Linked DNA regions of Coturnix japonica. The protein of the gene in region 2 purifies or fractionates together with the protein of the main gene of each other region. This does not show direct contact. Links are inferred from orthologs where the notes say so. Each region holds a gene or a part of one and is shown on either strand. Other genes may lie near its edges.

Region 1 (3,653 bases), about 75 Mb from region 2:
TGGATAAGACAAGTGATGGTATCTGAAAGCTCAGAGGCAGAAGCTAACATCATCTGCTTGCATAGGAAGCCATGTGACAGTTTAATAATCAAGAGACAGTCTACATGATGGTCCCTCATTTCCCAATGCTACAAGATTTCCAAAACAAATTATTTCACATTTTGAGGTGGGTATTACACAAATGTCTCCTTGAAGCTGTGCTCAAACTTCAGGAAAGGATAACAACAGGTAACAACTTCTAGTGCACTTCCTATGAACTCCACTGATTCATCAAAATCCATTTACTGTAGTAGGAACCTGTGGCACTGCATCTTATTAATGTATTACCATAGTTTTTACTGTTTCACTGTAGTTCTCCCAGAATAGCTCTTGTTTAACTGGCACTTTCAAGACATACGTTCAGTAGTGGGATTCTTGTTCTCTTGCATCAGCTTACACAGAATCTGGTACTCCATTTCACAATGAAGTACTAGGACAGTTTTTATTGATTTTAATTAAACTGCAGGTACGTGTTCCAAGACCACAGAATCAACAGAAGTTATGCAGAAACAGGGGAATAAATAGTCTTTGTCCGTTCTTTATAAGGGACAGATGAGTTAAGAAAACATTTCTATTTTAAGCATATTTAAAAAGGAAGGGAGGGGAGATGGGGGGGGAGAAGCTGGGTGTTACTTTCTTTTTCCCTGTGCTGTGGTGAATGCAAAATTTCCCAATCAGTGAAATTCACTTCCCTTAATTTTGAAAAACATTTCTAACTTCCTCATTCTTTTTATGATAGTAAAGGGAAAGCAACGCATGTTCTCTTCAAAGACCACATTAATTCAGGTACTGCATAGAACCAAAGACAGTTCATACAGTACATCTATCCCAGGTAATTACTCCTCCTGTGTGACCATAGACTTGGGCTGTCATTTTATTTTGAGTAACAGACATAAGAAAGCAAGAATACTAAAGGAAGTACTGTGACATGTTTACTTGTTTTATTTTTAAAAATATTATAAATAGATTTACTTACTCAGGGAAAAAATAATAATTAAACAGTCCATGATTTAATACCATATAAACCAGACTCATACAAAATAAATTAACATTTCAGAGAATACTTTTATGGCAAAGTAAAAAATGCTTCAAAAGTGGACAAAACTCTTTTCGGACTCCAAACTTTGAACATAAAGACGATAAATCTGTTTGGTTGCATTCTGTTTAGTTCTATTTTTCTGCAAAACTGGTCCGAAGAGTGAAGTTACAACCACTTATTTCTTAGCTGTCTGATTAGCATTATTCTAGTATACTGAAGTTTTATAAAGGGTTTAAAAATAGCAAGCTTTCATTCAGCAAATCTTCAAATGAGGTGCTTGGATTAATGTCCACTCTACTTGTAAGGAGCAATATACAACTCATAGGTTTATTTCAAAAAAGAATCCAAAAGTTTAGCAGATGACTGTTGAGCAAACCCAGAATTCCCAGCTTCCTCTCAAATAATGTGGAACTCTAAGACAAGTTTATTTTTTTCAGTCCAGATTTTGAATTATAATTAATAGCTAAGAGGCAGGAGGAGAACTGAAGCCATGATGGCAGCAGAGAAGCAAGAATCAAGAAGATCGGTTGCAAGGCTAATAAGCCATTTTAAAGCATTGCATCAAATTAAAACATTATATACTGTGTGAAAGAAAAGCTTTTCAAAAGCACTTATATGTATCTGATCGAGTTTGAAGACCAGATCTTGGGGTAGAATACAGCAAAAGCTAGAAGAGTGAAACGTGAGCATTCAGGTAATGAAACATATTGTTTATACCGAGGATAAAAGGATTAGGATAAAAGAAAAAACAAGATACTATAATTGCTGTTGATAAAGAGGATGGATGAAATACTCCTTTCATATCAGGGAGATTTTACACATGGTACAAAGAGACATGGTTTAATGATGGGAATAGATCATAATGACAGTTGGACTGGATGATCTTGAAGTTCTTTTCCAGCCTAGACAGTCTATGATTCTATTGGTGACTATGCCAACCCTAATAAGATTTCACAACTAAAAACTTGGTGATGACTTTCAGCCTATGTTTTTATAGAGCTGCTGTTGCACACAGAGCCAGAAATCACAAAAATATTTAGCAGCTTTTCATATTAGGGAGAAACTGGTATAGGGAGTATATCTAGGCTCAGTGCACATGCTTGTTAAGCATGACAAACCCAGGCTTGATTTCAAAACAGAATTTCTCTAGTTAACAACATGCCATGCTAATCTCTGCAAGCTCACTCTTCAATCTTCAGCTCTAAATTACATAATTCATTGGAAAAAGGCTGAAGTTACCTATATATAGACAAGAAACTACAGAAAGATTAAAAGGTACCTCTGTGGCCTCAACAATCAAAGTTCGAGTGAAAAAGATTCATCCATGCAAACATACAGAAATAAAGTGAAGTTACAGCAGCTCATCTGATGTGCAATGATTTGCTGCTTTGCCAGCTCTTACAAAACCCACAGCACTCTATGTATTTCACTCATTCTCCTCCCTCTTCTGAAAATAAGTAAATAAATAAAAAAGTCCCTTCAACAAGAGACGGCACATGTAGGAGACTCCAACTAACAAACTGTTATTATGGCACACATAGCTCCGTTCGTAAAAATTAGCTGATACACATGTTGGAACCAGACAAGAATTGCACACAATTTGACTGAGCAGAGATGAATTTTCTGACATTTTTGTCATTTCCATTTAGCAACTACACCCTTACTCTATATGTAATAAATGAGACAAAAAGCTGGCAATTTTAAGAACTGTATTCATTTTGCAAAGTAAACTTACTTAAGAACGATGGTCTTTCATCTGGGTTTTGTGCCCATCCACTCTCTATCAATCTTATGACAAGAGCTCGATGCGGAATGTCCATTGATAAGCTTTTTTCACTTAAGTCTAGTCGCTGTCCTTGTGACACACTATACATTATCTGCAAGGGGTTTATAACTTCTGTCAAAATAGACATCGTGCTTTCATTAGAAATATATGCAAAATAAATAGCTCACTGTAGGAAGAATAATTAAGATTGCAGTCGTAATATTTACATTTCACCAAAATAAGGCTTTCCTCTTTTAAAAGAATTCAAATACATTTTTTTCTTATCAATATTATAATTTGAAAAAGAGTCAAATCTGAGAAGTAACTCAATTACTTCTTGAACAGGTTCACAAATAGGATTATCATGAAGCAATCCCTGAAATGAAGTTCTGAGGAATCCAGGTCACTGGAACAGCCTACACCTAAAGCTAGAAAAATAAATTACAAGAAAACATGGCCTTACCTTCAAATGGGTGTTTCCTTGACATCACTTCCCATATAATAATTGCAAAACTGTTTAAAGTGTAAAAAGTATAGAAGACATTATTTTAGATTACCAACACTTACTGAAATAATATAGAATCATAGAATTGCACAGGTTGAAAAAGACCTTCAAGTTCATCACGTCGAACCACAGCCTAACCATACTATCCTAACTCTAACAACCCTCTTCTAAATCATGTCCCCTGAACACCACAAGCAAATGGTTTTTAAGCACATTCAGTGATGGTGACTCAACCACCTTCCTGGGGAGCCTATTCCAGTGCTTAACAACCCTTTCTGTAAAGAAGCTTTTCCTGATATCCAACC
Region 2 (3,653 bases):
TGGTCAGCGAGAGCAAACTGACTTTTGGGACTGACAGCAGAGCTGTAGCTGTGATTTTGAAAGCTGTGGCCCTTAGCAAAGTGCTTTGGTGCTTTGCAGTTTATAGGTTTGTATGCTCCTTTGTCATCCCAATTCCCACTACAAACCATGCACTTTTTCCTTTAAGTGAGGTGTTCAGACACTTAAATGCTCCATTCCCCTTCCAAACACAATACCTTCTGTTGTGCAGGGAGATAAAAGCCTGTAAATGCATGTTTTCCATTATAAACCACAAAGTTTCTTAGTCTGCCCTTCATTCTTTGAATAGACATTGGCAGAATCACCCAGGTAACTTATGCTTCAGGCTCTGAGAGTTCAAAAAGCATTTCCATCCTTAGAAGACAGGCCAGAGCCTGAAAATAGCCCATGGCCTCAAAAAAGAGGCAAAAAGGGGACGAATTGGAGCAATGGCATCAATTAAGGTCTAGCATATGTGTTAGTATTCCCAGCTTCAGCTGAAACCATATATTCTCAGCCTAAGCATGGCAAAGACACAGAAGTAAAATGTTGTATCAGGGCCCAGCTTTCCTTCACCTCTGCATAAAGCTGCCACAGTTATCTGGTACTGTCTGTGCATTCAAATAATGGGGCAGGATTATCCACTGGAAGACAAGAAGTGAACCCCAGTGCAATCACACTGCAGAGCAGAAGATGCACCTTGTGCAGGTGCCAGCAAAACCTGGCTCTAGCCTGAAGCTGCTCCTCCTTATTTTTGCAAGCACATTCATCAGCGTATCTGTCTGAGAATCCCAGATGCAACACAGCTTTGATTCAGATTCCAACTGTTCTCTTTCAAGTCTGATACAGCTGGATGGCTTCTGCAATTAGGGGAAGATGGCTACTTCTGGTAGCTTTTAAGTTTAAATATATCTAGGTCATTGCACCTGTTCAGCTTTTAATTTTTTAAGCCTGGCTGTTCGCTCACTGAAAGGAGGACAAGGCACCAGCTCTGAAATCCCAGGCTCTGAAATGGCAGCTCCGGAGAGATCCCTGAGTCCGGTACTGCTTCAGAAACCAATGCCATGTGCCACCTAGTGGGGAAAGCCAGGAGCCTCCTCTCCTCCCTCACGTGGAGGCCGGGGGAACTGGAAGAGAACGATCCCAGTGCTCCAGCTGGATGGATGAACTCCGCATCAACAGCAGCCACAATCCACACCTATAAATCCCTAGTCAGGATCTGTAATCCTAGCAGGGAAGGTGTTGGTTTTACAGTGCTGCTTGCACTCCATACTGTGCTGCCAACTTCACCCACTTTAAGGCCTCCAGAGGGCTACTTAGAGTCTAATTACTGAACTCCAGCGAGAACTACATCTCATTACTCAGTTCAGGTTGGATAATAAGAAAAATTTATGCAAAAAAATTATTTTGCTTTATGGCTGCACAGGGCTTTTCAATTCAAACAACCTGGCCTCTTGCTTGCACCAAGAGTCAATTGCCAATGACCATGGCACGAGATAGTGGCCCAAGGTCTGAAGAGCCACTGCTTCACAGAGCACTGGGAAAGGCAGCTCCATGGCGAGTTCAGCTGCTGTTTTACCTCACGTTTGTCAGACTGGGGTGGTTCCTCAGGGCCTCTGCAAATGCCTTTGCACCTTCATCTCCAACCTGATTGCCCCACATCCTAGTGAAGACAGGAAACCAGGAGATATCAGACACAATGCTCTATTGCCCCTCAGCCTGCATTCTCTTTTCCTTTCCCCATTCATCCCCCAACATTACTCCCCAGCCTCTGAGAGCTGCAAGAAGCCTGGCATGTACCATCCCACTGAGCCAGGCCTGTTCTGCTCCCTGCACACTGCACCATCTATCTCTCTAACCCACCAGTACCAGAAGGCCACAGCACAGGAGCAACTCTGGGAGACAACAGAAGTGTGCGTGATGTTAATTATATTTGTGAAATCTTTTAGAACAAAAATAAAAGGCCAAAATCTGATCGTTCAAACCCGATTTTCATATTTAAGTGTTACTGTGATGATGGCCAAAGAAAAGCTTTAATTCCTTTCAGCATTACATTCTAAGAAGAATGCTCTCCTGCAGAGTGGAAAGAGAAAATGGGGATTGCCAGAGGGAACAAGTCAAACTCTCGCATCTAGCATCAATCCTAAGAAAGAGCACGGACTAAATGTTTTCATTATGACCTCTCTCCAGCAATAGCAAGCTCTCCAGTTTAGGACAGAAGGATGATGTGGAATTCCTTTATATTCTCACAGATCACAGATTTATCAGGACTCTCCTTAGCACTGAACTTACCCGATTTCAAACATGGTTGTGCTCTTCTGGATGGCCTGGGCAAGGCACTTCCCTCCTTCACTAGTTATTTTGTTTGCTCCTATCCTGCATAAAATACAAGAGCTGATGAGGTACACCACTTACAACAGTACAGCTATTACAACACCAGCTCATGAAACAATACAGGTATTTAAGGCTAATTAATTCTGGATGCTAGTTACAGTTATCAAAGATTAACCTAGAGTAAAAAATACTGCAGGCATTTGACCTTCAATTAAGAGAAAACATATTTTGTGTGTTGGCCCTCCAAGTTGGACATATTACTACAAAGTCTTGATTTTGGTGCTAAGTGTGTCAGAAAAAAGCCCTAGGAACTGATCTTCAGAGCAAGGCTCCCTGTCTAGCTTTTAATACAGCTCATAATACCAGCTGTTGCTGCAAAGTACATGAATTACATGCAGCACATTTTATGATGCCACAGGGAACAGAACATTTCTTGGTAGCGCAAGTCGAGAGCAGACTGCAGCTGATAAGCACAGACTAATAATTTCAAGTCTTTTTGTTCTGAGCACTGGCTACAGGCACTGACATAGATCAGAGCACCAGTGGTTGGTGCTCTATAGAATCTATTATTTGGCCTGCATGGGAATATCAACTGGTTGGAGTTCAAGACAGAGGTAAGTCTCAATTGCTTACACATTACTGTAAAAAAACAAAACCCAAAACCCCTCAAGCTGCTATATTTCCATAAATTAAAACTTTTGTCTGGTTTGTCTGACTGACTTCAGGCACATGAATACACACTCTATCTCAAAACCATCTCTGGGCTTACTAGGAAGCCTGACAGAAACTGTCTTCCAACAAGCATTTTTTCCTAGTGCAAGTTAGAAGATTAAATTAACACAGCACCCTGTCAAAGCAGTGACAGAACCAGAGTGCTCTTGGGTTTCAAAATCCTGCAAATATTTCAAGCAGGAATTATGTGGTTTCAAAGCAAGTTAGGGATAGAATAGCACCTAGAACCCAACAATCCCTGGCTGCTGGTTGCTATATTAACACCAGCAGTTGCTATTACTGTAGTTACCTCTATGTTCTGCTGTGGTCACAACTAAACTATCAGTTAATGATCTACCTTTCTGTTAAGTCACTGCTGTGTATGGCCAAACACATATCTGGAGAAGTTCCAGGACTTCCCAAGTGAAACAACTTCTCAGGTGAATCTGGGCTATTCCAGAGCTGAGATAATGACACTGGCACAGCATGACTGCTATAGCCCATAAAAGGCCAGATACCAAGAAGCTTGATATTAATGCAAGCAAATTAATTCATGGCAAAGGCCAGTAAGTTCATGCACCACTTAAACCTCATTCAGGTACTTAGACTGG

Evidence for each region.
Region 1: the proteins of NOD1 (region 2) and RIPK2 purify together in Homo sapiens (affinity purification with western blotting; 4 studies listed by BioGRID and IntAct, with this or other methods). This does not show direct contact. The link is inferred for Coturnix japonica from reciprocal best matches to the Homo sapiens genes NOD1 and RIPK2.

The regions. Positions count from the first base shown.
Region 1 is NC_029517.1:112,519,150-112,522,802, reverse strand, and holds part of RIPK2 (receptor-interacting serine/threonine-protein kinase 2), read right to left. Parts: intron 3,357-3,653; coding exon 3,307-3,356; intron 2,976-3,306; coding exon 2,814-2,975; intron 1-2,813.
Region 2 is NC_029517.1:37,977,518-37,981,170, reverse strand, and holds part of NOD1 (nucleotide-binding oligomerization domain-containing protein 1), read right to left. Parts: intron 2,374-3,653; coding exon 2,290-2,373; intron 1,661-2,289; coding exon 1,577-1,660; intron 1-1,576. UniProt on the Homo sapiens protein: Pattern recognition receptor (PRR) that detects bacterial peptidoglycan fragments and other danger signals and thus participates in both innate and adaptive immune responses.